Elephas maximus indicus: one gene and its partners. The protein of the gene in region 1 purifies or fractionates together with the protein of each later gene. This does not show direct contact. Links are inferred from orthologs where the notes say so. Each region holds a gene or a part of one and is shown on either strand. Other genes may lie near its edges.

The links.
Region 2: the proteins of MAX (region 1) and L3MBTL2 purify together in Homo sapiens (affinity purification with mass spectrometry; 6 studies listed by BioGRID and IntAct, with this or other methods). This does not show direct contact. The link is inferred for Elephas maximus indicus from reciprocal best matches to the Homo sapiens genes MAX and L3MBTL2.
Region 3: the proteins of MAX (region 1) and bromodomain-containing protein 8 purify together in Homo sapiens (affinity purification with mass spectrometry; 3 studies listed by BioGRID, with this or other methods). This does not show direct contact. The link is inferred for Elephas maximus indicus from reciprocal best matches to the Homo sapiens genes MAX and BRD8.
Region 4: the proteins of MAX (region 1) and E2F6 purify together in Homo sapiens (affinity purification with mass spectrometry; 5 studies listed by BioGRID and IntAct, with this or other methods). This does not show direct contact. The link is inferred for Elephas maximus indicus from reciprocal best matches to the Homo sapiens genes MAX and E2F6.

Annotation. Positions count from the first base shown.
Region 1 is NC_064828.1:77,419,772-77,427,724, reverse strand, and holds the start of MAX (protein max), read left to right. Parts: upstream 1-4,939; 5' UTR 4,940-5,168; coding exon 5,169-5,204; intron 5,205-5,921; coding exon 5,922-5,948; intron 5,949-7,953. UniProt on the Homo sapiens protein: Transcription regulator. Forms a sequence-specific DNA-binding protein complex with MYC or MAD which recognizes the core sequence 5'-CAC[GA]TG-3'. The MYC:MAX complex is a transcriptional activator, whereas the MAD:MAX complex is a repressor.
Region 2 is NC_064822.1:185,384,256-185,391,719, forward strand, and holds the start of L3MBTL2 (lethal(3)malignant brain tumor-like protein 2), read left to right. Parts: upstream 1-4,455; 5' UTR 4,456-4,520; coding exon 4,521-4,559; intron 4,560-7,443; coding exon 7,444-7,464. UniProt on the Homo sapiens protein: Putative Polycomb group (PcG) protein. PcG proteins maintain the transcriptionally repressive state of genes, probably via a modification of chromatin, rendering it heritably changed in its expressibility.
Region 3 is NC_064820.1:151,248,703-151,256,689, reverse strand, and holds the start of bromodomain-containing protein 8, read left to right. Parts: upstream 1-4,976; 5' UTR 4,977-5,141; coding exon 5,142-5,160; exon of another isoform or gene 5,161-5,166; intron 5,167-5,200; exon of another isoform or gene 5,201-5,219; intron 5,220-6,475; coding exon 6,476-6,572; intron 6,573-7,987. Other genes in the region: kinesin-like protein KIF20A, read right to left, coding at 91-285, 462-591, 678-865, 990-1,128, 1,743-1,862, 1,965-2,054, 3,540-3,704. UniProt on the Homo sapiens protein: May act as a coactivator during transcriptional activation by hormone-activated nuclear receptors (NR). Isoform 2 stimulates transcriptional activation by AR/DHTR, ESR1/NR3A1, RXRA/NR2B1 and THRB/ERBA2.
Region 4 is NC_064830.1:26,135,161-26,142,262, forward strand, and holds the start of E2F6 (transcription factor E2F6), read right to left. Parts: upstream 3,006-7,102; 5' UTR 2,711-3,005; coding exon 2,582-2,710; intron 1-2,581. UniProt on the Homo sapiens protein: Inhibitor of E2F-dependent transcription. Binds DNA cooperatively with DP proteins through the E2 recognition site, 5'-TTTC[CG]CGC-3'. Has a preference for the 5'-TTTCCCGC-3' E2F recognition site.

The DNA of each region.
Region 1 (7,953 bases):
GAGCTGTACTCTCATAGGAAGGGATGTACTGTCCACTTCAGGGAAGCCTTCCAGGTTTTGCTTATTTGCTTCCTGGTCCTGACCCTCAGTTGTACCCTATTAATTCCTTGATAAAACATTTCATTGTAAATATGGTCTGTGAGTTTTTTGTGGCCATTGCAACGAATTATCAAAACCAGCAGAGAAGTAGAGAGTGCGGGGGCGGGGAGGTGGGGGACTGACGTCAGAAACAGTGAAAAGTTGGAGAGTTGAGGTATGTCTGACCTCCACCTCACAGGAATCAGCTTTGTGCTGATCCTGATTCTTATTGTCCCTTGACAATTTAGATGAGTTCTGACAGTATTGCTATCGCAACACAAGCAGTAACTAGATCTGACCAGTCAATTCCAACTCATGGTGATCCCATGTGTGTCAGAGTAGGGCTTCTGTTTGCTTGTTTTTAATTTAATTGTGCTTTAGGTGAAAGTTTACAGCTCCAGTTAATTTCTCATGCAAAAATTTATATACATTGTTTTGTGACACTGGTTGCAATCCCTGCAATGTGACAGCATGCTCCCCCTTTCCATCCTGGGTTCCCCATGTCCATTCATCCAGTTCCTGTCCCTTCCTGCCTTCTTGTCTTTGCTTTTGGGCAGGAGTTGCCCATTTGGTCTTGTATATTTGATTAAACTAAGAAGGACGTTCCTCTTGTGTGTTATTTTTTGTTTTGTAGGCCTGTCTAATCTTTGAAAAGTAGGCTTCAGGAGTAGCTTCAGTTCTGGGTTAGCAGGGTGTACAGGGGCCATAGTCTTGGGGGTTGCTCCAGTCTCTGTCAGACCAGTAAGTCTGGTCTTTTTTCATGAATTTGAATTTTGTTCTACATTTTTCTCCCACTCTATCCAGGATGTAGAGTTTTCAACGGCTGATTTTTTGAAAATAGATCACTAGGCCTTTCTTTCAAGGCACCTCTGGGTGTACTTGAACATTCAACCTTTCAGTTAGCAGCCAAATGCATTAACCATTTATATCACTCAGGGACTCCTTAAAGTAGCAAGGGGCTAGAGAAATTGGGCTGCTCAGTGACAAGGCCCAGTCTTGATAAGTTCACATAGGGCTTTACCAAAGAAATGCAAGTGTACAAAGATGAAAATGAATTAAAGTCCTAAATTACTATTCACATCAGGAAAGCACTAAAAAAGAAAACTAGAGGAAATTTCTGTTCTAATATGCTTAGTTCTCTTTCCTGCCTATGTGCCTTGGCCATGAAAGTCCTTTTATTTAGGTCATTTAAAAGTATTTCTTAATTTCCAAACTTAGGAAGGTTTTCTAGTTATCCTTGTATTATTTCTAGTTTAATTACATTAGGTCTGAGAACATCCTCTCTAAGATCACAGTCCTTTGAAATTTGTTTATGGCTTAGAACATGCTCAATTTTTGTAAATGTTCCACGACTGCTTGAAAAGAATGTATTCTACAATGATGGGTGCAGTCTTTTATGTCTATTAGGTCAAATTTATTAACCAGGTTGACAGGTCTCCATATTCTATCAAGTACTAAAAACAGATGTGTTAAAATCTCCAGTCTTTCTACCCGGAAGGCCTTTCCTCCTTACCTCTGCTTACTTGCTCAGGTCTCCATTCCACAATCAGAGAATCAATGATGAGCACAGTCTGCTCTGGTCCCTGCAGACTGGTCCTCGTCCTCGAGAGCCTAAGAAGACTTCCCTGATCATCAACACCTCCCTAACACCATTTCAGACCTAGGAAAATTTCTCCCTCCTCTCCTTTCTTACAGCATTCACTGCCTTTTCTACTAATTCAACATTTACATAATCTGTCTTCATTATAATTGTTTGTGTTCATAATTTGCCAGGTTTTAAATTCAGGGAGGGTAAAGGCTACCTTATTTCTTTTATAACAGCTTTTGTTGTTGTTTGGTGCCGTCAAGTTGGTTCCAACTCATAGCAACCCTATGTACAACAAAATGAAACACTGTCCGGTTCTGTGCCATCCTCATGACTGCTGTTATGCTTGAGCTCATTGTTGCAGCCACTGTGTCACTCCATTTCATTGAAGAGTCTTCCTCTTTTTTGCTAACCCTCTACTTTACCAAGCATGATGTCCTCCTGCAGGGACTAGTCCCTCCTGATAACCTGTCCAAAGTACGTGAGATGTAGTCTCACCATCCTTGCTTCTAAGGAGCATTCTGGCTGTACTTCCTCTAAAACAGATTTATTCCTTCTTTTGGCAGTCCAGGGAACCCTGATGACATAGTGGTTAAGTGCTACTGCTGCTAACTAAAGGTCCGACAGTTTGAATCCAGCAGACGTTCCTTGGAAACTCTATGGGGCAGTTCTTCTCTGTCCTATAGGGTCGCTATGAGTCGGAATTGACTCGACAGCCACAAGTTTGGTTTTGTGTTTTTTTTTTTTGGTTGGGCAGTCTATGGAATATTCAACATTCTTTGCCAATGCCATAACTCAAAGGCATCAATTCTTCTCCAGACTTCCTTATTCCTTATTCCAGCTTTTGCGTGCATATGAGGCAATTGAAAATACCATGACTTGGGTCAGGTGCACCTTAGTCCTTAAAGTGACATCTTTGCTTTTCAACACTTTAAATAGGTCTTCTGCAACAGATTTGCTCGTTGCAATGCATCGTTTTATTTCTTGACTGCTACTTCCATGGGCGTTGATTGTGGATCCAAGTAAAATGAAATTCTTGACAACTTCAATCTTTTCTCCATTTATTATGATGTTGCTTATTGGTCCAGTTGTGAGGATTTTTGTCTTCTTTATGTTGAGGTACATACTGAAGACTGTGGCCTTTGATCTTCATCAGTAGGTACTTCAAGTCTTCTTCACTTTCAGCAAACAAGGTTTGTGTCATCTGCATAATGCAGGTTGTTAGTGAGTCTTCCTCTGATCCTCATGACCCGTTCTTCCTCATATAGTCCCACTTCTTGGATAATTTGCTCAGCATACAGATTGAATAGGTATGGTGAAAGGATACAACCCTAACGCACACCTTTCCTGACTTTAAACCACACATTATCCCCTTGTTCTGTTCTAACAACCACCTCTTGACAGCTTTATTGAGATATCATTTACGCACCATAAAACTCACCCTTTTAAGGTACATAATTCAGTGGAAAGCTGTCTCATTTATCTTGGCATGCACTATACAAATGATTCTCAATCTTGGATGCATATTGGAATCACCTAAAGAGTTTAAACAATACTGTTGCCTGGCTCTAACCCCAAAAGATCTGAACTTAATTGTTTGGGGGTGTGGTCTGGGCATTGAGGTTTTTCAAACCTCCCAAAGTGATTTTAACTTATGGCCAGGGTTGAGAACTACTGCCCTATAGCATTTTGTGCATAGCAGGCACCCAATGATAATTTGTTAAAATCATCAATTAGCCCTAGCTTCCAATATCAAGTTAATTAACTCACCGAAGAGCTACCATCCAGATCTAATACCCCATCAACTCATCACATAATGGTTTGCTACATGTGTCCGTCCCACTTAGGTCGTTTGAAAGGGAGACTCACAAACTCATTTAGAAAAGAGGTTTCCTTGTGAAGACATGCAGACTTCAGTTGAACAGGATCACTGAATAAGACACAAAACAGGTATTAAAGGAAAAAATGTAAAGGAAAGATTTACCGCGTTTACATTTGTCTCTTGCAGCATAAATGACATGCTCACATGGGGAGATACTGTCACAAAGATGGTGACATATCCCCAGATTTCTGCATTCAAAAGTCAGAGATAAAATGGTTTTCATTAGGGCATCAGTAATTTATGGAGAAACCTCAAGATTTCATTCGAGACCACATGTAAAAGTACTTCTGCCACTTTGTTTATCTCAGGGTGTCTTTGTTATTGTTTTGCTTTTTTCTTCTTGTGGGACTTGTATACTCTTCGAATGACAGCAGAGCAGTCTCATTTTTGCTTCCACAGCTGTGAGCGGCTCCAAGACAGGGACCGTTCAGGTCTTGTACATTAGCGCATTCTCGTGCTGGCACATGTTAGGTGTTCAATAAATATTGGTAGAATGAATGTGATCACATCTCTTCTCACAATATTTACATATGATTTAAACTGTGTAGGGGGCTGCAACCAGTTTCCCGTTTTGATCCTTTTTGCGATTCTTAATTATGACACTCTGAACTGGGGCACTCCGTAAACTGCCTGGGCTACAACAAACTCCAAAGGGGCTTTTACTTCCACGAAATCGGTTGTTGAAGGTAAGAAAGGGATCTGTGAAAGCAAAGCCGCACACTGAGTAGCAAGGTTGGTCACTCCGGGATGAATGAATACAAGATTCTCGCGCCTGGGAGCAGTCCCATAGAAAGGCGATTCTTGTAACACCACTTAACACCTGCCATTGACACCTTCTTCTCAGAACCTAATCCCGCAGGTCTGCATGGGCTTTCCGAGCCGCGCCCCCTAATTCGCAGCCACAGGACTCCCTCGCGGGCAAGTTACGCCCCAGGTCGCAAAGCGGGACAATTCGGGAATCAAGAAGACAAAGTAAAACTAGGTGCAAGAAGGAGAAGCAGCTTATTTAGGCAGCCAGCTACTCCCTCAGAACCTCCACCCTGTCCCCTGGGCCCGGCGCTCATACGGTGCCGGACTCCAAAAGCCCAAGCTCTCTCCACGTGTCCTCTCTTCCCAGAAGCCTCCTCTGCTGCCTCGGGAGGAAAACCTCCTGACAACTCGCGGTCTGTGGACTACGACTCCCAGAAGGCACCGCGCCGCTTCTCTCTCCGCCCCCCCCCCCACGGGACACGCAGGCGCTTTGGGCTTCGTCAACAAGCCGGGCTGGCGTCTCCTGGATGAAGTTCCTGATGGGATTTGTAGTTTTTCTGGCGCCAGCTGGGCGGTCGGTCAAAGGAATGGGAACTACAAGTCTCGGCGGCCTAAGCGTGACGAGTCGTCACGTGGCAGGGGGCCGACCGGGCGTGCGTGCCGCCGTTGATCCGGTGCTGCAGTGAGGAGGTGGTTCTCGCCCGTGTTGTGTGTGTGAGAGAGCGAGTGAGTGAGTGAGTGAGTGAGTGAGTGAGTGTGTGTGTGTGTGTGTGGGGGGGGACTCGGCTTGTTGTTGTCGGTGACTTCCCCCTCCCCTTCACCCCTCCCCCTTCCCCGCCGCCGCTGCAGTGGCCGCTCCCTGGGCCGTAGGAAATGAGCGATAACGATGACATCGAGGTGGAGAGCGACGTGAGTCCCGGGGCTTCTTCTTCCCGTGCGGGTTGTCAGGCGGGGACAGCGGCTGGGACTCTCAGCGGGGCGCCGGCGGGAGGGGGCCGGGCTGCCGCCGCCTCATTTCCCTTCTCTCCGGGACTTGGACCGCTTTAGTCGCCCTCCCGGCTCGCTTCCTTCCCAGCTCCTAAGCGGAGGGGCCTCCAGGGACTGGAAGTGGGGAGGAGACACGCGGCCTATGGGACCCCCACCTCCCCTGAGGAGGAGGGTGCTGCGGCCGCCCGCTCCTACCCTATTCCGCTCAGGATCCAGGGGACAGGGGTGGGGTGCGCTCGGGATCCCATTGTCCGGATCCTGGGAAAGGGGACGGTGCTCAGAACCTGTTCTCTCGGTCTGCGATCACTTTTTCCTGTGACCTGCGGATCCTGGGGGTGAGGGAGGGCAGAGAGGGATTGAGAGTGTCCAGAAGCCCCGAGCTGGGTGCAAGGGGGAAGAGACAGTGCTCGGGACCCCCTCCTACCCCGGTCGGATCCGGAAGGAGAGGCGGCGCTCAGGACCCCCCTGCCCCGCTGCCGGATCCCGCTGAGGGGTTGGAGCGTGGGGTGGGAAGGGAGGGAGGGGGTCGGACTGACTCCCTACCCGCCGCTTCCTCCGCCGCCGGCATTTTCTAATTATTGAATATGAAGTGTAAAAATAACTTTTATATTTTCTATTTTTTTTTTTCTCTTATTTCAGGAAGAGCAACCGAGGTTTCAATCTGCGGTACGTCTCCTACTCTCCATTTCATTTTCATTTCCGTTCAGTTCTAGTACATTTGGGGGTCAGAGAAAAAAAGAGATCGTTCTATTTTAACATTGTAGTAAATCTGTTAACCGCTAAGGTGAGGTGGGGCCTTGTTCTGGGATTCCAGGTATTGGGGGAAGGTTGCAATTCTCATAATTCCAGACTCTCGGGTGATAGGTTCCAGTGACTGTGAATGGGATGAGCTGTATGTGAAGAAAGGAATCGTTCCAGTAGTTTTCAGATGGGGAATCTAGCCACCACACTCTAAAGCAGGAAATGAGAAATACAGCGTTCTGAAGTAGACTGTAGCATAATTTCAGGGCAGTGTCCTCAGAAGATGTAGAACAAGGAGGTTCCAAACAATATCTGCATATTAGTCGTGAGTGAAGCTGAAGCACATGCAATCACCTTTAACCAAAAGTCATGTGACTGCTGTAGACCTAGAATCTGGCATGTGATACTGTAGTGCAGAAATTGGAAATGTAGAGGAGCCAGAGGTTGAATATGAAAGTGTCACATGCAGCTTATTGTGGTCTGACTTTTTATATTTGAGTTGAAGGAGAAGTATAAAAAATAGGAAAATTGTTGGAAGATGTGGCATTGGCAGACAGGTTTGCTAAGAGATGAGGACTCCATACACTGTATGGACTCCATACAGTGTTATCAGTAATTTATCAGGGTTATTAGTATTTTTAGTAGATGATTCTGTGGATTTAGGTGTACACTAATCTCATGTCTTTGGAGACAGAGCCAGTACTGTGAGTGTTCTGTGAATAATAGATTAGAGGGGAAGAAGGAATAGACAAAAAACAAATCAGAGAAGTGAAGGGAGAAGTATATCAGAGTATCTAATATATGACAGTGGGAAAGAAGGGTATAGAATAGGGATCAACAATTCAAATGTCTGTGGGGGCCAGGCAGCGAGATAGTTAGGAATACAGCAGTGGGAAGAAGTGAGGACTGGGGTACTGGGGAGCACACACCTCTTCTAAAAAGGCAGCCACTACTCAACTCCAGTGAGTTGTTACTATGTAGGGGTGAGGGTTCAGTGCTGACAGGTTCCCTATTTTTTTTAAGAAAGATTTGGAACCCGGATTTTTATGTTATTCTGATTTTTAAAAGAATGTGTGGAATATTCAAGCTGTTTAGTGGCTGGTTAGAGTGTGCATGATGCCACTTTGATACTTCTGGTATACGAATTTAATTACCACAGGATAAAAGCAGGCACTCTTGTACCTGCTCTTTATTAGAGCGAGCAAAGATTGTGCAAGTGGCCCAAGCAGATGCACAGTAAGAAAAGTGTTGCTTTTAAGAACTGATACTTCCATTAAACTGCAGGATACAGTTGTCCCAGGAGTCCTAAAAATTGTCCTGGAAAATAGTCGCTAAGAAGATTTTTTTTTTTTTGCCTTAGGTCTTTGAAGTATTACCACATACCTGTATTTGTACATATATTTGAAAATTGAATTCCTTATTTGGTTATTATTATCTCTAATAATTTAGAGTCTGTTTACATTAACTGATGTATCATGTTCACGGCCCAGTCTATTTGAAACATTTTTTCCTCCAAGTTTCCATTTTTAAGATCTGCCCCAGGGCCTGGTCAGGACTGGCGGGTAGGGATTGACTAGAGCTCTCATAGGCTTCCTTTGCAGACTTACCCATTCAATTGGAATTATTTTGACTCTCCATTGAGAGAAAAGCTTTCTTTGTGAGGTTTTGGCTCACGGTTCTTGAAAGTGTTCTGCTTTTCAAAATATTGAAAAGTTGATGTAAATTGGTTTATTAGATTATTAAAATGCCTCTACTCTCTTAGAATGCCAATCTCATTGTTTTCCCTAGATGTTTTTAGTTTGGTGTTAAGGTGCCTAGGATTTTTCCCTTAGATTTTGGGGGTTAGGGAAGGCGTGTGGGTTTGACCCTTTGTTTTTATTTTGACATATATACTTGTTAAGACTTTTAAGATAATCACAACAGCGTGGAG
Region 2 (7,464 bases), on another chromosome or scaffold:
ATTAGATTCAGGTGGTAGGAGTGAAGGGATATAGGATCTGTTTTGGAGGTAGAACGACCAACATTACTTGTTGACAGCATGTTGGGTTTACAGGTGGGGAGAAGGGATTGAAGGGGAAAAAAAAATCAAGGATTTCCTAGAATCAAACAAAAATGAAAGCATAACATATCAAACCTTTGGGACACAGCAAAGGGAGTACTCACAGGGAAATTCATAGCAATAAATGCCTACATTAAAAAAGAAGAAAGATCCAAAATAATTAACTTAAAATGACAACTTAAACAAATAGAAAAGGAAGAGTAAAAGAAACCGAAAAGGAAATAATAAAGATCAGGGCAGAAATAAAGAAAAACAATAGAATCAACAAAACTAGAAGTTGGTTCTTTAAAAGTATCAAAAAAACAGACAAACCACTGGCTGGATTAAAAAAAGTAAAAAATCAAAGGAGGCAAATAACCAAATTAAGAAATGAAACTGGTGACATTACAACCGACCAACAGAGATAAAGAAGATCATTACAGATTTCTATGAAAAATTATACTCCAACAAATTTGAAAACCCACATGAAGTGGACAAATTCCTAGAAACACGCCACCTACTGAAACTAACACAGAGGTAGAAAATTTAGACAGACCCATTACAAAAGAAGAGATTGAAGATGCTATCAAAAAACTGCCAAAAAAAAAAAAAAATCCCAGGACCAGATGGCTACACTGGAGAATTCTACCAAACATTCAGAGAAGAAATGGCACGAATCCTACTCAATCTCTTCAAAAACATAGAAGAAGAAGGAACACTACTGAACTCTGTGAAGCTAGCATAACCCTGATACCTAAACCAGGAAAAGACGTCACAAAAATATATCCACAAGATATTTTTGTGAATATACAAAACTGGATATCCACAAAAATATATTCCTAAATCTGGGGAATATAGATATGAAAGCCATCCTTGATATCTGGCAAAAGAGTTGTAATTCTCCTGGAATCCAGATTTCTGGCTTTCATGTAGGTTGAGATAACCCACACAGGCTACTGCCTTTGGGTGTCCTTTTGAACCTGGGACTTTGATGGTAAATCAGTAATTAGTCTAATTAGTCTTCAAGACAATGCTGTATGAAACACCTAATGTTTGTAATCAAACTGTCACCCCCTTACTATGCAGAAATTTATGTATCTTAAATAAACCAAGTTCTCAGAGAAGATGGACCTCATGGCCCAGACTCCATTTTGTCTTCTGCTTCTGAGAAAGTAACCCATGCTTGTTAATAGGAGGGGCAGCTTGCTCTCAGGAAAAACTGCTTAGAATGTTTTAAATAGATTAACTGGAGACCTCCAGCAGGAGAGGTCCACCCTCTATTGTCTTGATAATCATGTATTCTCTAACGGAAACTTGGTTGTCACATGTAAATTTTTCTGTATCTTCTGTTTTCTCTAGACAAATTTTGTGTGCTCCTTATGGATATATGTTTTTGTGTGGTGGATCCAACTACGCTAGTTTCGATGATCCTTTCCAACTGACGGTGAATTTATATGGTCAATGTCTTGTTTAGATTCCTGGCGAATGCGTGGGCAATGCACTTTGGGAATTTTAGGATTACCTTTAGATATTCATAGTAATGATGCTAGTAAATATTGGAAAAGTGATGTTAAATCGTTACACATTGTAAAACGAGAGTCAGGAGAAAACCCACTTGTCCAACACTCAGGGTAGGGTTGATAGCTTTAGTTCCTACTTACACTATAGTTGAATTGGAGGAAACTTTAAGAAGTTTATCAGTTATCATGGGACCAACAGCAGATGAAGTTGCCAAGTGGAATGGAAGCACAATGGCAGTCTCTGACCTCATTAAGTCACGGTGACATGAGGTAACAGATTAGCTCTTAGATTTTTTATTAGCCCAAGAAAGTGTAGCCTGTGCTGTAGCAAATACCTCTTGTTCCATTTGAATAAATAACACAGAAGTAGAACAGGATATATGTAGACTGGACAACATGCTACTTTGTTACACGTTGTAATGCCCTTATAAACACCACATTTATTTGGTTGTGTTACTGGACCTCCAGGTCTCGCTGGGTGAGACTCAGAGACACAAGTCAGATGAAAGCAAAAGAAGAAAACTTGATTTGGCTGGCCTAGCAAAGGAGCACACTGGGACCTGCATTGCCAAGATGGCTCCTCAGTTGGCAAGCGCAGGGGTCTATATACGGAAAGGAGACAGGGTAGGGGTGGGCTCTTCTTCAGGTGTGTTCAGGGTGTGTCTAGGGGCATGGCCCATCAGGATTAGTGGACAGTCCCTGCATGGCCCATCAGGATTAGTGGACAGTCCCTGTAATGATGCTGAGGTCATCAGATAGTTGATGCACTGGGGCCATCAGTGAGGGACAATGCCAACTGGGCGGAGCTGCCCGCCTCACTTGCCATCCTGCGGTTTCCCACCTCAGTTAGTTACCATCAGGAATAAGTACATGGGTTAGATCACTATTGCAAGAATAATAATATTCTTACTCTGTGTCTTGATAGTATTAGGCATAATAAAATTTACCTTCTATTGTCTTACACACCTAAAAGGCAAAAGAAGGCCTCGGGCTAAAATGTTGGTGTACATTGAATCTGCTCATTTTGGCAATGAGATTGATGAGAACATTGCTCTTCAGATCCTGGTGACGGTATTCAGTGGAAATCCAGCACCATTAATTTAAAGAGCCTCCATCTAAGAATATTGAGTCCAGGTATTGATCATCAATGTATTATCGCCAATCTCTGATCAAAGGAAATGATTTAGGAGATAATATTGGAGCCATTGTTCCCTGTCCTAAAATGTGACCCAGCTGGAGCTGGACTCACAAGGACACATCAACTGGGCCCTGTGGTATAAAGATATTAGCTAGGACAATCTTAGGAAACATCTTTTAGGGAACTTTTCAAATAAACAAACAGTGCGCAAAAGACCCACATACCTTCCACTCTTATCTTTTTTCTATTAGCATTTAGCAAATAATAAGATTTGTTGGATCAGTGAGGGCCCTCCTGTCGTTACTGAAACCTGTACCAACGATTATTAAGAAAGACTATTCAAAACATAGAATCATGGCAATTTGGCAGTTTTTAGCGAATCTGTGAAAAGATGAAGCTTTCAGTGGTTTGGCCCATTTGTAATGTTAATATATACTGATTATAACACTCCTTGGACTCAGACACGCTCTGGAAGCATGTTTGTCTGTTTCCCCACTTTTGCTTATTCTGTAATATTCCTTAGACGGGCAGTCATTGGCGCTGGAACCACGCTTGTCCATTTCCCACTTTTACCTCTTTGAATATGTGCCGAATAAAACCTTTTTGTTTTACTAAACTTTGTGATTTTTTACCCTAGAACATTTAATTTTTTTAATGAAAAACAAAACTTTATTTTAAAAAAAAAGACCACTTTACCTTTTACACAGTGTGTAGAATAAATTGTTGTTTTACATATATCCAGCCTCCACTTACTACATTTAGAGTCTCAATCAGGACACAACGTAGCATCCCAAACCCAAACCTGTTGCGGTTGAGTCGATTCCGAGTCCTAGCGACCGCATAGGGCAGAGTAGAACCGTCCAATCAGGTTTCCAGGGCAGTAATCTTTCAAGAAGCGACCTTCCACATCTTTCTCCCAGCAAAGTGGCTGGTGGGTTCGAACCTCCAACTGACCACCTTTCCGGTTAGCAGCCGACTCTTAACCCCTTTGCCATCAGGGCTCCTTACAGCACGAGATAGGGAAACACTTCATAGTAAATCTTTAATTCTGCCTAACCGTGGAAAGTATCTAAACCTGGAGAGCCTTCGATGCCTCATCTTTGAAACGGTGATTGGATGCCTATGGGATCGAGATGATGCTCTTAAAGCGCCACAACAGCGCCTAGAACTCCCCTTGTGTAGGGGGTTTGTGGGAAATCCAAAAGGGATGAGGCTGCGAGCCTCGGGCTTTATTCAGGAAATGTTGGTGGAAGACGAATGTTGGAGAAATTTGAACACGCGGAGCATTTATGCATTGGGCATGAAATTATTCCAGCTTCTGCCTGAATGGGAAATGAGGAGGGCTGCCAGGCATTCAGCCCAAGAGCACCTCACATTTCTCTCTGGATAGACTGCGAAGTCCCACGGGGTTATCCTCCGCGCCTGACACAGTGCCTGTGTAGGTGCTTAAGAACTGTTTAATGAAGAATAGGGCCAGGCTTGGGGAAAGAGACTGGCGTGGAGTTTAAACAGTCAGCGCCAGTGACCTCAAAGCCGGGGCCGGGCGACGTTCACGTCACTATGGCAACGCCTTTACAGGCGTAACCCTCTGGGGAACTATAAGTCCCACAACCGCCCGCGGCTTCCCCGCCCGCAGTGGGTGGAGGCGCCGAGCGAGCGCGGAACCGGCTTTTCCGCCTTCCTGCAGCGTGATTGGCCCGTTGCTCAGGGAGGCGGCCAATGAGTGCGCTCGGGGCGAGCGGCGAGGCCAATATGGCTTCTTACACCTGGTGACGGTTGAAGAAATGGTGTTAGGGCTCATGGAGAAACCCCGGGGCATCGAGGTGAGAGGGTGAGGGCTTAGCGCCAATGGGCATGGAAACCCCGAGCGCTCCTTCGCCTGGCGAACCCTTCTTTAGGCTTTTTAGCGACGCCTTGAGGGTGGAGGTTGGAAGGATGGATGCACTTAGGCAGCTGGGCTGAGCCAGGGCCGCGAGCGATTGCCCTTGCCTTTTGCTTCCCCGCGGCTGGGCTGGACGTCGGGCGAGTGGTTGAGAAAGGAGTAGCCTCCCTGGCCTAGGAGATGGGGCGTTAGACCCAGGATCGGAGCTCTTCTGAATCTTCTTTGTTCTCCCCGTCTCGTGGTCGTGGTCGTATTCTTTAGGGATTGTGAAACTTGTCACATCGTGGTGTGAAGTGAAGGGAGGCTAAAGGTTAAAGAACGCTTACTCAGTGCCTAGAACGGTCACGTGCATTATCTCCCGGGTATACTCGCAACAATCCAGTGTTACTGTTTCGTTCTTAAGGTTACAGCACCTGAGGCTTACGGAGGCGGTGCGACTCCCCAGGAAGGTCACACAGCTGAACTGTGAAGGAAATCTGTTAGGCATGCAGTCAGGCTCCCAGACTCTACCTGTTATGCTTTTTCCACTCTCCTACAACCTGTAACCCAAACCAAAGCCACTGCCGTCGAGTCGATTCCAACTCATAGAGAGCCTACAGGACAGAGTAGAACTGCCCCATAAAGTTTCCAAGTAGCCCCTGGTGGGTTTGAACTGCCGACCTTTGTTTAGCAGTAACACTTAACCACTACACCACCAGGGTTTCCACCTGTAACCCACCTACCTTTAATCATTTGGCTTCTGGGCACTCTACATTTGAATGCAGTTTTCTACCACATTTACACGTGTAGTTGTAAACAGAAAGTAGAATAGCTCAAAAACGCGACAATGTAGAGGTACTGAAGTGGAGAATAGTAATAGCTCACAGTTTAGTTCTGTTACTGCTGGAAGCAGACCTAGCTTCTACATAATTTATCTCATCCTCACCACAGCCCTCTAAAGAAGGCGTTTTATCTCGCTTGCACTGATGAAGAAACTGAGGGTACCTGTACCCATTGCTGTCAAGTAAATTCCAACTCGTGACCCTACAGACAAGAGTAGAACTGCCCTATGGGTTTTCCAAGGAGCCACTGGTGGATTAGAACTGCCAGTGTTTTGGTGAGCAGCTGCAGCTCTTAAGCACTGTGCTACCAATCCTCCAAAACTGAGGGTAGCAAGGTCAAATATCTTGCACAAAATCACATTTAATAATTGGTAGAGCCGGAACACCCAGGCAAATCTGATTGAGAGCCCATACTTTGAACTGTTCAATTTGTATTTTATTTTCCAGACTTGCTGGAGTTAAAAAGGGTCTTTTCAAAACCAAGGAAACTCTATAAAATTAACCTTGTCAAAATATTTTTTAACATAAAAGGTAATGATAGTTGCCAACATTTATTAAGTGTTTGCTAAGTGCAGGTCACTGTTCTGAGTGCTTTACCTGTATTATTAACTCCTTGTTCTGCAAATCTTATGAAATAGGTTTTATTATCCTCATTTTGCAGACCCCAAAACTGAGAGACTGACTTGCTGCTGGTCATATGGCTAGTAAGCAGCGGTGGTGTTATTGTTGTTGTGTGCTTTCAAGTCAATTCTGACTCATAGTGGCCCCAAGTATTACAGAGAACTGCCCCATGGGGCTTCCTACGGGAGCAGATCACCAGGTCTTTTTTTCCCCAGAGCCTCTGGTGGGTTCGAACCGCTGAACTTTTGGTTAGCAGCTGAGCACTTGAGCACTGGCCCAATGCACGGACTCTTCACCTTGCTGTACCTTTTCTACTAGCTGCTAGGTAGATCCGTCTACAGTATCTCATTACCTCTCAGATACTCCTGAGCCAAATATTTTTCTTATTTTATAGTTGAGAAAACTGAGGCTCGGAGGTTAAGTGACTTGCCCAAGGACCCACAGCTAGTTAGGATCAGAGCTAGATCCAAAACTATGGTACGTACCACTGCGCCATAGCTCTCTGTGTGTCATTTGCCTCCTGCCTCCTCGTGTACAGTCTGGGTCCCCTCACTTAAACTGTATTTGAGCTGAGATTCTTTTGGTGTACCTATGCTGAAGGGGAAGAACGAGTTCCTACTGTATGCCTTCCATCCCAGAGTCTTCAGGAGGCATCTGCCAGAGGGTATTTTCATAGTGTTGTTTTCTATTTGAACTCTGTTAAAATATCATCATTTGTAAATCTACAGAATGAACTCAGTGAATTCCTAACTTGTATTTTCTATCCTGTAATGCACTTCATGGAATCCCTGGTGGCGTAGTGGTTAAGTGCTATGGCTGCTAACCAAAGGGTTGGCAGTTCGAATCCACCAGGTGCTCCTTGGAAACTCTATGGGGCAGTTCTACTCTGTCCTAAAGGGTCGCTATGAGTCGGAATCGACTCGACGGCAATGGGTTTGGTTTGGTTTTTGGGTATAATACACTTCATAGGAGCCCTGGTGCAGTGGTTAAGCACTTGGCTGCTCTCTGAAAGGTTGGCAGTTTAAACCCACCAGCCACTCTGTAGGAGAAAGATGTAGGAATCTGCTTCTGTAAAGATTACAGCATTGGAAATCCTATGGGGCAGTTCTACTCTGTCCTATAGGGTCACTATGAGTCGGAATCGACTTGACGGCAATAGGTTTGTCTTTTTTTTGTTGTTTTTATAAAGCTCTTCTGTTGAGTTGTGGTGGAGAAATATTGTACAAACAAGAGTAATGATCCTGGTGTGTGCGAAAAGGTGCCTAAAAGTGTTGATTTGACAAAGAACTAGGTAGGGGGCTGATAACAAATCCACGGCCTCCCTCCGCATGCACTGAGCCAACTTGGATTCCTCCTGCCTGGTTTGTGTCATTCTTCCACTAGGAGACCCCGTTTTCAGAACCA
Region 3 (7,987 bases), on another chromosome or scaffold:
AATGTATAAGATGGGAGCACCCAACTCTTTCCCTAGTTCTTCCCTCAAGTCCACTACAGGGTTCATGCCAGCCTCCCCACTTTCCCACACCTTTCACGTAGGGATTGCCGTTCTGATCTTCACACAACCGTAGAGTCTGTCTCTTGCGCTGCTGGCTAGGTGGTTCTAACAGGTCATAGATCAGCTCATTGTAGATCTCAAAGAAGGATATCCAGATGGAGAAACGAATGTCTGCTGGGACACTTACTGGGGCAGTGTCTGGCTGTGCCCATCGGTGACTTGTTTCTGGGGAAGAAGCCAACGTACAGAGCATCAACCCTAGAGTGTCCATCTCCCCTTTGGCCTGGGGATCCTTGGAAGGCAGAGCTCAGGCTGCAACCTCTGGTTTGTACCCCTGGCAGCTGCTGGGAACAGGGAATGGGTTCCTGTTACTTGGCCAAGAACCCAGTTATGGTACGTACCATCCAACTGGCTACTGCTGGTCAACTGACTAGTAGAGGAGAGCCCAGCAATGCCACTATCAAAGCTGGTGCTGGTACCCATCCGACTTTCAATGTAGACACTTCTCTTCAAGGAGGTGGACAGCTCCTCCTGGAGAGGCCCGGGGAAAAGGTTAAGCACAAAACTTTCCAGAGATTTGTACCACTACCCCACCTCTATAGACACCAACACTTCACCTCTTGGAGGCCTCCATTTAGCAGGGCTAGCTTCTTCATTTCTTCCTGCCGGATCTGCTTGCTGTCTAGCCAGATTACCTCATTGGAGAGCAAAGGCTTCAGATCAGGCGTCAGATGAAGTTGGCCTTGGAGGCTACTGAAGATCAGAGCCAGGGACCGGGGCAGGATCCCTCCATCCTTGATGGTCCCTAGAGGTTATGTGAAAGATGGACAGCTGAGGTAAGTGCCTTTCTCCCCCTAACTCACAGCATCGAAAGCAAAGACAACACCATTACAGGACAATCAGCAATCCTGTGAGGCCTTACCACTTACCTTGAATTGTGTGGGTTTTCCCTGAGTTGGTGACTCCATATGTATAGATGAGCCGGTTCTGCCCTCTGAGTACATCCTTTACCATCTCCTTCATTGTCAGGTTGAAGAAGGATGCCTGTCCCACTTCTGGCCCAAAGATCTAGAGACAGAACCAGTTCTTCAAAGGCCCATCCTTTATCTACCACTTGTCTCCTATGCAAACCCAGCAGATTCATTCCTTCCTGGGTGGTGGCTCTGGAGTCCACTTAAGCAGCTTCCTCCTACACTGCTACCAGCTGCTCCCTCAACACTGAAGATTCAACCAGTCTCTGTTACTACATCTTTCAGCCAAATCAACAGATACTTAAGGAACGCTGTACATTAGGTGCAATGCTGCACACACAATGGGGTAGTGTAACGGTCACAAAGGCGAGTTTTGAAGATGGATGGATTTGGATCCAAGTCCTAGCTCTACCACCAACTAGCTACATGGTTTTGGTAATGTTACTTACCTTCACTGTGCCAGAGCATCCTTTTCAGGAAAACAGGGACAATAATAGAGTTGTGAATAAATGCACATATAGTACTTGACAGAGTGAACTAGCAGATAACACAGACCCCCCAAATTGTAGGGGTGTATAACGGTGTTTCATAATGGTGTGTGTGTGTGAATACCCACAGACAGAGAGTGAGAGAAAGAAAAGCTTTCTTTCCAGAGAAAACAAAGTTGCCTCTACATGCTGGTCTCTTGTTCACAGCCCAGTACTTCCATACCTGGGAAAAGGTGAACCTGTGGGTAGCTTGGCCAATCCCACGTTCATTGCTTTTCAGGGCAAAAGAGTCCTTGGGTGCTTGTAGAACAAGAGTCTCTGCGTTCTCGATGTGGATACAACTCTGAGAAGGGGGGAAACATGGTTGTCACAGAAGGAAAAATTCCTGGGAACCTCTTCTGTACTGTATCATTCCATCTTGAATTGTCCCTCCTCAGACACTTACCTGATCCTCCTGCCGTTCCAACTCTGAAGGTAACAAGGGTCTGATCCTCAGGTATACTTTCACCTTCTCTGTACTATCCTCAGATAGAACCTGTGGCAGAATTCCAGCCCGGAACCACATTAATCTCAGCTGTCACCTCTGAGCAGATGGACAAACACAGCATAGTTCCTAGGAATCATGCTGGCACTACCCCAAAATTACGGACTTTTTCACTAATCTGTCACCCTTCCCTGTCTCATCAGTATCTTGCAAAACTAGCTTGCAAGATAATTGCTACACCAATTATCTGAGTTAGAAGTGGTGCACCAGGATAGTCTGGTAGTTTACAGTGAGAGACATCAAGATCCCTGCCTCATGAATCTCTCTATAGGAGAGGAGGCTTCTGGGTAGAGTTTTTCTGAAGACAAAACATGTTAACATATGTTAAGCATTTAACATTGGGTCTAGTACAATGGCTGTCAACCAAGGCCTTTCCCTGTCCCCTTGCCCCTGTGGACACTTAGCAGCATCTGGAAACATTTTTAGTTGTCACACTGGGGAGGTGCTACTGGCATCTACCGGGTTGCGGCCAGGAATGCTGCTGAACATCTTACAATGCACAGGACAGCACATCCCCCCCCCACAACAAAGAGTTATCCAGCTACCAACAATAATGTGGTTGAGAAACCCTGGCCTAACAGAAAGAAGGGTTCAATAAAAGGAGCCCTAGTGGTGCAACAGTTAAGCTCTCAGTTGCTAACCAAAAGGTTGGCGGTTTCAACCTACTCGGCAGCTCTGCAGCAGAAAGACTTGCTTCTGTAAAAATTATAGCCTAGGAAACTCTATGGGGCAACCAAAAACAATAACATGGTTGATATTATTAAAACATGAGTATAAGTTCCACCTACTTAATGGTAGTATAATCTTGTGTGAATAATTTAACATGTATGTGCCTCATGGTAAAAGAGAAATAACTATTATACCTCCCTCACAGGAGGAACTAAGAGCATGCACATAACATTTCACTGATGCAAAACAAATACTAGTTCTTATGGACATATGCATGTGAAAGCTGGACAATGAATAAGGAAAACCGAAGAACTGATGGCTCTGAATTATGGCATTGGCAAAGAATATTGAATATACCAAGGGCTGCCAAAAGAATGAACCGATCTGTCTTAGAAGAAGTACAGCCAGAATGCTCCTTAGAAGCAAGATGGTGAGACTTCATCTGATGTACTTTGGACACATTATCAGGAGAGGCAAGTCCTTGGAGAAGGATGACGTCATGCTTGGTAGAGGGCCAGCAAAAAGGAGCAAGACCCTCAATGAGATGGACTGACATGGTGGCTGCAAGAGTGGGCTCAAACAAAGCAATGATTGTGAGAATGGTGCAGGACCCAGCAGTGTTTCATTAAGTTGTGCATAGAGTCACTGTGAATCAGAACTAACTCGACAGTACCTAACAACAACATCAACACGGATACATACCTCTATGTTTTTTACTTGTCCTGGCACTTAATTTTAAACTCTCAGACCCCTGTATGGACTAGTAGGCTGGGGTTATCACTTGCTGCCTCCAAACAGCTCCTTTACCTGCTGCTTATCCTCCAGGGAGGTGGAGATGACAGAGCAGTCTGAAAGCAGGTCCTTGCGTATCACAGACCCCAAGTCTGCAGCTGTAGACTCAAACATGGGGGAGACTGCAACCTCCTCATCAGACAGCAAGCCCACTGGCGGAGAAAGGATCCCTTGAGACATGACAGCAAGGGCAGGTTTGGTCTAAAAAGAGACAAGAGTGGATAGGGAGAAGAACCTTAGGGACAGAAGGGGCCTGTGAATTTCTAGGTAAGAAACAATGCCCTTGCCCCAGGACACCTGGTCTGGACGCCTGAATTCCTACTGCCTTTTCTTTCCAAGGAAACCCTGGTGGCATAGTGGTTAAGTGCTACGGCTGCTAACCAAAGGGTCGGCAGTTCGAATGGGCCAGGCACTCCTTGGAAACTCTATGGGGCAGTTCTACTCTGTCCTATAGGGTCGCTATGAGTCGGAATCGACTGGACAGCACTGGGTTTCGGTTTTTCTTTCCAAGGAAACCCTGGTGGCTTAGGGTTCAGAGTTCGGCTTCTAACCAAAAGGTCGGCAATTGGAATCCACCAGGAGTTCCCTGGAAAACCCGTGAGGCAGTTCTACTCTGTTTTACAGGGTCACTATGAGTTGCAATCGACTCGACGGCAACGAGTTTGGGTTTTTTTGTTTTTGTTTTTGTTTTTTTTGCTTTTTCTTTCCAAAGTCTTGCAGAGGGAAAGGGGTGGGAGGAGTTAATTCCTTAACCCAGTCTCAGGCGGCATTTCCATCTTAACAGAAAAGAACAGAGATATCTGGCTCTAAAAGCAGAGAGCCACGCTCCAAGTGCAGTGCCTCGCCCTCCGATACTGTGAAACACGGGCGGAATCCAGAGTTAGGATCCGGAGGCTGCTTCTCCAAACTCGCCCCAAGGCCAATCGTGAATGTAGAAGTGTTCAGAAACAGAGAGATGGCAGCAGCTCCGCTCCTGAAAACACGTTCAGGGAGGGCAAGAGTTGTTAACCCCGGTTCCAGCCCAGGCGCACACTTACCCGAAAGCCGAGACACTCGCTCCCGCTCCGGTACCAGCTTGCTCACACACAGCAGCCGAACCTGGACCTGCGCCGCGGAGGACCACGACTCCGCCCACGAGGCGCAGCTTTGTTACTGATACAATGTTTTAAATTACGCGCTGCGTTCGTTCGACCAATCAGATAGCAAAGCCTGCAGTTACCAATCAGAGCATGGAAGGAGGGCGGGCGAGACTAGGAGACCGTTTGCTTTAGGTCGACCTCGCTTCGGTTTTGCGCGTCCGGGTTACCAACTGCCGCGAATCTGTTGTTGGGTCCCCAGGGATTCGTCACCCTTAACTGTTTTCTTGAACCCTAGACATTTCTTTCCTAAGAAGTCTAAAGGAAAGCCTGAGGTTTCAGCCGCCATCTCCTGTCCTTCCTTAGCAACACCTTCTGAGGAGCGCTCCAGAGGATTGGATTATTGTGCTTGCTTCCTCCCGGGAAAGAACTACATTTCCCAGGAGCCACCGCGAACAAGCGCCCGTACTCTATTTCCCAGACTTCCACAAGGTTCGCTTTGGCTGAACCCTCGTCGGAGCTTGGAGACTTCGAAGCTAAGATGGCGGCGGGAACGGGCAGTGAGTGTCAGTGCTTCTTTTGCGTGGAAAGCCTTAGTAGAGCCGAGGATAGGCACCAGGTTTCTGTCACACACTTAGAGAGTGGGAGGAGTGGTTTGCCTGAGAGCCCAGGGTCTTCAGAGACCTGCGCTGTACGGCGTCGTGAAGGCCAACGGTTAGAGGCCCAGAAGTGCAGCGTCTTGTGTCTCTGGGAGAGAGGGTGTGAGGGAAGCATCTCAACGAATCCTAAAGGGATAAAGGCCCTTAAGAAACTTGGGCGTGCAGACAAAGAGACGTTGTGCGCCTTACGGAGTGGCCGGCATCTCAAAAAATCATTCATTTTTTAACGAACGTTTGTGAGGCACTGGAAATAAGATGTTTTAACCGGGAGCTTTTTCTGCCTTTAGGGTAATTGCGTTTCGTGCAGCTCAGCCATTTCCCTCCGTTTGGTGGATAGAAAAGGTCTTTTAAGTCCCACAGTAAACAGCGGGGGTGGACTGACAGAAATAAGCAAGTTTATGCTAAAAAGGAGGCGGGGCGGCAGGAGGAGGTGGCCGTTCAGATTCTGGGAAGTAAGCCCTTGTTTTAAAATTGGAAGAAAATATGAGTGAAATAAGGCCTTTCGAGAGAACTGCTTAATCTGACATTAATGTTTTAATCTGACATTAATGTTTTAATCTGACGTTTTCTGTTTTTTAATGAAGCGAAGCTTGAAGCTGTGGCCTTTAAGAAAGTAAAGTGTTCTTCTGCCTTATTAAAAACTCATTGCCATTGAGAAGATTCTGACTCATACTGACCCTATACAACAGAGTAGAACTGCTCCACAGGGTTTCCAATGCTATAATCTTTACAAAAGCAGACTGCCACATCTTTCTCCTGTGGAGCTGCCTGACCTTTCAGTTAGCAAGAAAGTGCTTTAACCACTGTGCCAACAGGGCTCCTTCTACCTTATACTCAGTGCAGCTACCATGTAATGGATAAGTACCACTCTCTAGTGGTGATATTTCACTGTATGGGTGGATATCAAGATTTGGGAATACTGTTGCTGTGGAGATGATTCTGACTCATAGTGCCCCTATGGGACAAAGTAGACCTGCCCCATAGGGTTTCCAAGGCTGTAACCTTTAGAGGAGCAGATTGCCACATCTTTATCCCGTGAACAGCTGGGGTGTTAGAACCATGGACCTTTAGGTTAGCAGCCCAGTGCTTATCCACTGCACCATAGTAGCCCATTTTGTTCTAACACGTTGGGATGTTTTGTATTAGGCCTTTAGTTCTCCCTTTGGGGCTTAGAACTAGTGTCTCAGTGGTTGTGCTAAGCCTTCTCTCCTTTTAGAACACAAGCTGCTGAGTACTGGCCCCACAGAGCCATGGTCCATCCGGGAGAAGCTGTGTTTGGCATCTTCTGTTATGAGGAGTGGAGATCAAAATTGGTAAGGTATCTAGGAGGTATGTTTTTTTAGGTCTTAAAAACTGTAGGATACTTTTTCATGCTGGTGGATTTATATAGTTAATCATATTAACCTTTAAGTACTATTTTTCTTTTTAAAAAGCACCTTTATTGAGATGAAATTCATATACCATAAAATTAATTCATGTAAAATATACAATTCAATGATTTTTAGTATAAGCACAGAATTGTATAACCATCACCACAGTCTAATTTTGGAACATTTTCATTACCCCAAAAAAGGAACCCTTTAACAGTCACTCCACATTCCCACCTTCACTCATCTCTTCTAGTCCTAGGCAACCACTGACATAGTTTCTGTCTTGATAGGTTTCCCTATTCTGGGACATTTCATGTAAATGGAGCCATATAATATGTGGTCTTTTTTTGTGACTGGCTTTTTTCACTTAGCATAATGCTTTTAAAGTTTATTCTGGTTGTAGCATGTATTAGTGCTTCATTCCTTTTTATGGTTGTGTAATATTCCATTGTATGGATATACTACCTTTTTTTTAATCCATTCATCAGTTGGTAGACATTTGGGTTGTTTCCAACTTTGATTATTTTGAATAGCCCTGCTTTGAACATTCTGTACAATTTTTTGTGTAGACGTGTTTTCAGTTCTCTTGACTATATATGTAGGAATGTAATAGCTGGGTAACTGTATGTTTAACTTTTTAAGCAACTACCAAGCTGTTTCCCAGAGTTGTACCATTTTACATCCCCATCAGCAATATATGAAGGTTGCGTTTTTATCATATTCTCGCCAACAGTTGCTGTTGTCTTTGATTATAGCCATCCTAAAGGGTAAAAAAGTGGCATCTCATTGTGGTTTTGATTTGAGTTTCCCTGGTAACTAATGATTTTGAGCATCTTTTCAGGTGCTTATTGGACATAATGATGGGGCCCCTGTGGTGCAGTGGTTAAGTGTTTGCCTGCTAACCAAAAAGTCAGCAATTCGAATCCACCAGCTGTTTCCTGGAAACCCTGTGAGGCAGTTCTACTCTGTCCTGTAGGGTTGCTATCAGTCGGAATTGACTTTACAGCAACAGGTTTTACTTTGGTATTAGACATATGGCTATCTTATTTGGAGAAATTTATTCAAGTCCTTTGCCCAATTTTTTTATTAATACAGTTTATTTTTTAGAGTAGCTTTAGGTTTGTAGAATGTAAAAATGGCATGGGAGCAGACTCTGACCTCTTCACTTTTCACAAGGGGAAAGGAGAATCAAGATCAACAGTCCAAGGCTGATTGCTATGAGGTGGAGGTCAGTCATGCCTCCTTTATCTGCCATCTATACCATTTCTGTCACCAGCCATCTTTCCCACAGCACTTTCTACTTCTCTCCTGGGTTTAATAGTTCATTGCAGTGGCCACACAGAACTCACAGACAATGC
Region 4 (7,102 bases), on another chromosome or scaffold:
TCTATTCTGAGATCTCAGAGGCTAGCACGCTGTCCCTTGTCCCTATTACTTCTGGCCGAAGCCTGAAATGACCTCAGACGCTTCTTCCAAGGTGGAATAAGAGAATAAAAGATGAATCTCAGGGACTAAAATACGAAGCGATGCCTCAAAATTGGTTATACATTTCTCTTCACAAATGCCTCTTTCCCAATTCTCTGTTCTGGGTGGTAACATTCCTTCGAGAGCTTTTTGGAAACGCACCTTTCTCTGAGGTGACTGCGCTCTCCTCACTTACTCAGGCAACACCAAACACTAAAAAACCCTACAGGACAGAACAGAACTGCCCTATAGGGTTTCCAAGGAGCAGCTGGTGGAGTCGAACTGCTGACCTTTTGGTTAGCAGCCGAGCTCTTAACCACTGTGAAACCAGGGCTCCACCAAACACTCAGCAGTATACATAATCATCTCAGACAAAGAAAACAGCACATGTGATGACCTGGGGGTTAAGAAAGGATATGGAAAACTTTAGTGACTATAAGCAGTTCAGGATGGCTGAAAAGATAAACCCAGGAGCCACATTTCATTAAGGAGATTCTATTCTATTCTGAGAGCACTACGCAATCATGACAGATTCTTTAAACAAAATGACATGATCAGAAATATACTTTACAAAGATCATTATGGTTACTATGTGGAGAACATATGAGAAAGTGGGAGGCATGACTGGAAACAGGAAAACACTGCAATAATCTAAAAAAACAGGTAATGGTTAGAAGTGGTGAGTATTGCTGGTTAATTTTAATTGGATTGGGAGGATGAAGGGGGTCAGTTTGGAGATGGGAGACGGTAAGGATGATGCCTAAGATACTGGCTTGGGCAATACGGTGGGTGTGGTACTATTTACCAAGATAGAAGGTAAGCAAAAGCCCTGAAAAACACCAACATTTAATGAATGGGAAGGGGAAGATGAGTTTGCAAAGGAGCACAATGGAAGCCAGACAGGTAGATGGAGCACCAAGAATATGCGGTGTCAGAGAAGCTCAGTGGAGAGACTTTGGAACAAGAGAGAGTAGTTAATTGTGTGAAAGTTACAGGAGACGAGTGAAACATCTAATCAGAGTTAACAAGATGGATGATGAGCTTGGTTCCAACCCTTCAGAGGTGTGGGCAGGGCAGAAGTCCCAGAGCAGTGGGTTGAAGAGTTAATGAGAGGTGGGGAAGCGGACAAAGTGAGTGCAAACAACTATTTTAAGAAGCTTGTCTGTGAAGGGGAAGACATACAGCAGATGAAAGGGGATATAAAATTAAGGGACAGTCTTTTAAGACAAGGATCAGTTAAGCAGTCAAGAATTTATCATCTGGAGTCAGATATTCTGAGGTTAAATCAGGGCTCATTAGCTATCTTACCAGCTATCTAACCATGGGCAGATCACCTAACATCTCCAAATCTGTTTCGGCAACCATAAAACAAGAATAAGGAGCCCTGGTGAAGCTGTGGTCAATAGCTGGCTGCTAACCAAAAGGTTAGCAGTTCGAATCCACCAGCTGATCCTTGGAAACCCTATGGGGCAGTTCTACTTTGTCCCATGAAAAAAAAAAAATTTTTTTTTCAGTTCTACTTTGTCCCATAGAGCAGCTATAAGTCGGAATCAACTAGATATATCGCAGTAGGTCTGGTAACACACACGTTTAAGTGCTCGGCTGCTAAGCAAAAGGTTGGCTGTTAGAACCTACCCATCGGCTCCACGGGAGAAAAGACCTGGCGATCTGTTTCTGTAAAGATTACAGCTTGGGAAACCCTATGGGGCAGTTCTACTCTGCCCTATCGGGTCACTGTGAGTCTGAAAGAACTCCACAGCACACACCACTACAGAAAAAAAAGAATAATACTGTAACAGTGCCTATCTCTTAGGATTGCTGTGAGCAATTAAATGAGATAATATTCATAAACCATTTGACATGAAAACCGGGCATCTGACTGTTCAGTAATTGTTTAGCTATCACAAGTTACAGAAAGAAGCCAGCAGAGAAACTGAAAATATCGACCGAAATAGAAAATGACGGGTCCATCAATGTGCCCTGAGAACCCCAGAGAATAGAACTTCCAGTCTAGAACAAGAATAGACGAAATAAGGCTTCTGCAGAGAGGGAGCCAAATCTCCCTTCTGCTTTCTCTGTGAAACAGGACAGAAGCTAATTTACTGAATGGAGAGCTGTAGGGTGGGAAATGTGAGATGTGGACAAGGATTTAAACCTCTGCATTTAAGCGGGAGAATGCGAGAAGACGCTGAAGAGAAAAACAAATCTGCAGAGATGTACTGAACGGCCAGTTTAGGTAGACAAGCATGCATTTACCGTGCGAGGCTGAGCAGTTTTCTCTAAAAGTGCTCTGGAGCCCCGAGGGAAGAGCCAAAAAAGCTGACAACACATGTAGGAGCAAATAAGCCAGTCTGGTTCACAGTCCGTGATGGGCAGTGGGAGAGCCGGGAAGACGGAGGGGAAGCCCTGGGGGAGCTCATAATACAGACGACGGCCAGCCCGGCTCTCCTCCCAGAGAGGGCCCGGTGCCCGAGACCCTCCACCCCACGGTCCCGTGGCTTACCAAAAGGCCCTCCACGTTAATCGGGTCTCGGCAGCGGCGGCGAATGGTCTCCTCCGCCGGGTTCACGAGGAGGCTGGGCAATTTCCTCGGTGCCCGCTGCTGACTCATGCTGCCGAGCCGAGCAGCCATTCGCCCCTCGCACCCTGCGCACTCTCCCGCCTTCTCCCGCTCTGATCGAGCTACGCCTCCAACACACGGCTTTCCGGGGGCTCAGCGCGAACCAGATCCTGCGACTCCTCCGAGGCGCCGCCTGTCTAGGCCGCCCTACACACAGGAGCGTCACTACCCCCACGAACTTCAGCGTCGCTAACACAGAAGGGAGGAAAGGAAGGTGACCCACTACTGTTCAAGATGTCAGGCCCGCCATGTTCCCGCATGCGCGGTGCGCCGCCCCCTTTGCGCATGTCTGCCGCTGCCGCTGCCGCTGCCGCTGCCGCTACCGCAGCGCTCCCACGCACTTATCTATTCCCAGCGGCGGGCTGGCCGGAGCGCGGGAAATCCCGGACGGCGGATCCTTCGGAGAGGGTGGCGAAGGAAAGGAAGAGGTGGGGCAGGAACTCCAGAGGTAGGGAACCGGGATGAGAGAAAAGAAAGCAAACATGTTGCCCGTCCAGTCGATTCCTACTCACAGCGACCCCACAGGACAGAGTAGAACTGCCCCGTAGGGTTTCCAAGGCTGTAATTTTTTAGGGAAGCCGACTGCCATATCTTTCTCCCGTGGAGCAGCCCGTGGGTTTGAACTGCCGACCTTTCAATTAGCAGCCAGAGCTTAAACCACTGCACCAGCAGGACTCCTCCAGAGAAAAGAGACACCCGGGAAAACGCCACTGTGGTCTCAGAATTACTGACATTAATAAGTAAACCTGAGCACGCAGGGATGCTACTTTATTCTTGTAGTTCCCTCTGCACATCACAGGCTCTTGCCCATAGCTGATGCTTAGTAAATGTTGGCAACCAAACCACTGCGCAATTGTTTCCTTAGATGCTTCTGTCTCTCCTTCCTCTTTTCCTCTTATGAGTAATTGTTGATTACCTATTGTGTCAGGTGTTTGCTGGACACAGGAGATACACATTTGAGTTTGGCATAGACTTGATCCAAGATCAGAGAAACAAATACATTTTTATATTATGGTCACATGTCACTTCCCTTCTAACCCGCCAATGACAAATTCCTCAGCATAGCACACAAGGGCTTCACAATGTGGCTCCCAGGGACCCCTTAAGTAAGCCTCACCTGGAGTGTCTCTCTCCCTTACACACCGAGGTCCGGTCTGATTTTTCAGTTTCAGAATAGGGACGATACTCTCTTACTTTTGGATCTTTGTACATCTTACTTTCTCTGCCTGGAATCAATAATTTCCCGTTTTTACTGGTCCTAGCTGACTCAACTTAGCCATCACTTTCTTCAGAAAACTACTTCTTTTTCCCCATTCCCCTAGTCTTTGTTTGATTTTCCATATTTGTTCCTCTCCCCCTCTCCTAGCCCTCAACTAGTATCCTGCGCATATTTCTTTTTTTAACCAGTTGCCAGTTTAGTCAATTCCCACTCATGACAATCCTAAGGTGTGTCAGAGTAGAACTGCGGTTTTCAATGGCTGATTTTTCAGAATTAGGTATTTCTTCCAAGGACGTCTGGGTGGACTCGAACCTCTCCAACCTTTCAATTAGCAGCAAGCACTTAACCATTTACACCACGCAGGGACTCCATGCATGTTTCTAACCTGGCTCTTATCAAAGTATTTTGAAATTGTACGATGGGGCAGTAATTGTCTTCTCTACTGTTCGGACTTCAAGTCTTGCGGCCTCCTTGTTCCAATGGAGAACTGTCGGAATAAGGCCTGAGAACATGCACACACACACACACACACACACACACACACACACACACACACAAAGTTTTAAACTCGAAGGATAAGATTCAATGAGAGATTGAAGACCTTTCATGATTAGGCTGAATCAATTTCCTTTACTCCAGTCAGAATAAATGTTTTCTTATCTGGTGACAAGAAGAAAGTTGGAAAAGGAAACAATAGAGATGTGAGAATGAGGACCCTGAACCTGCTCCCTTGTACCCAGTCCCAAGAGGGTGGGGGACATGAGCAGGTAAGTTTGAGGACCTCAGAGCAGACAGCATACTCAGGTGAGGCCCAGGGAGGTGGCAGGTCTCACTGGGAAGTCCTGTATGACCATGGCACAGACACCACGGTAGATGAAGTAGCAATGGCAGTGTGGTACTCAGGGCATGAGATGCCCAGAGACCATCTCAGCATTTCCTGCAGTCCCTGATGGGTAGAGGAAGTGTTATGGGTTGAGTTATATCCCCTAACCCTAAATATGTTGCAGCCCCACCCATGTATCTATCAATGTGACTGCACGTGGAAATGAGTATGAGGAGTAGGAGGAGTAGGAGGAGTAGGAGTAGTAGGAGGAGTAGGAGTAGTAGGAGGAGTAGAAGTAGGAGCAGTAGGAGGAGTAGGGGTAGTAGGAGTAGTATTAGGAGGACGAGGAGGAGTAGGAGTAAGAGTAGTAGTAGTATGAGTAGTATTAGTATCAGTAGGAGGAGGAGGAGGAAGAGTAGTAGTAATAGGAGGAGTAGTGATAATGATAATAGACATTTATCCAGCATCTACTACGTGTTTGGCATTCTGATAAATGTTCTGCACACATTTTCTCATGAAACTCTCGTGTCACAACTGAAAGATATGTGTCTTTCTGCCCAATTTGTAGATCAGGAAAATGAGGATTAACAAGTCCTGGCTAGGTAGCGGTAGAGCCAGAATTTGAATTCCACGGCTGATTAATTAATTTGGTATGCTTATCCTTGAGAGGATTCTGACTAGTTGGGGGATTCTACAGTCAGAGATGGGGTCAGGTGAGTGAGGTGGGTGTGGGTCCGGATAGGGGTGGCAGGCACTCCAGGCTGAAGAAATGGCATGAGAACAGCTGTGGAGAGTCAGGGACTTGTTTGGGACACACCTCCAGGCACTGACAGCACCTATCAGCTTTACCCTGAGAATCACTCACACATGTCACACACTTGCATCTGTCTTAGCCTGGGTTCTCTAGAGAAGCAAAACCAGTAAAGCATATAAATATATAATATATATGTAGAGAGATTTATATTAAGGAAGTGGGGCTCATGCGGTTTTAAAGGCTGGAACATCCCAAGTCCGTGGGTCAGGCTGGAGGCTTCTCCTGAGTCACATAGCCACGGGGGCTGGCAAACCCAAGATTGGCAAACTTGGCTCTGGCTCACAGGCTGCGAAGACTGATGAATTTCAAGATCAGTGGGCAAGACAGCAGATAAACTGCTAGCTCACGTCTCAAGAACTAGAGGTCAGATGAACAGGAGCAAGATCCAGAGCGAGCAAAAGCCTGTGGGCCTTGCCAGAAAATCCACCTATTTTGGATGCAGGCCACACCCCCAAGGAAACTCCCTTCCAACTGACTGGCTACTCACAGCAGATCCTATCATGGAGGTGATCCTATTATATCAAATCTCATCATGGAAGTGACTCCATCATCCTATGACTGCCAGACTGCATCATAACTGCCAAACCACTGAGAATCATGGCCCAGCCAAGCTGACACACAACCTTAACTGCCACAGCATCTGTCATGTGCCTGGCAGTAGGTTAGGTGTTGAGGGTACAACTAAATCTGACAGGGACCTTATGTTGTGTTCCAGGGGCACCCAGCCTGGTGGAGACACATAACCTGGAAGTGTAAGAACTAAATTACAACGCGCATAACATGCTGTGGGAGCACAGAGAAGAAATAAATGAAATTGAATTTTGTATAGCTTGCAAGTGCCTTCTCACACAACTGCCTGTGAAGAAGATATTCTTATAAAAGATCCGTGGGTGGTGCAGAAGATTTTTGCTTGACTACTAACCTATAGTACGTTGACAAAGAGCTGCCTGAAATTCAGGCTGGATTCAGAAGAAGACATGGAATGAGGGACATCATTGCTGATGTCAGATGGGCCCTGGCTGAAGCAGAGAATACCAGAAAGATGCTTTCCTGTGTTTTATTGACTATGCAAAGGTATTCAACTGTGTGGATCATAACAAGTTATGGATAACGTTGCAAAGAATGGGAATTCCAGAATACTTAATTTTGCCCATAAGGAACCTGTACTTAGACCAACAAGCAGTTGTTCGAACAGAACAAGGGGATACTGCAGGGTTTAGAGTCAGGAAAGGTGTGTGTCAGGGCTGTATTCTTTCACCATACCTATTCAATCTGTATGCTGAGCAAATAATCTGAAAGATGGCCTATTTTGAAGAAGAACGTGGTGTCAGGATTGGAGGAAGGCTCATTAACAACCTGCGTTATGCAGATGACACAACCTTGCTTGCTGAAAGTGAAGAGGACTTGAAGCACTTAGTAATGAAGATCAAAGACCACAGCCTTCAGTATGGATTATACCTCAACGTAAAGAAAACAAATATCCTCACAACTGGACCAATAAGCAACATCATGATAAATGGAGAAAATATTGAAGTTGTCAAGGATTTC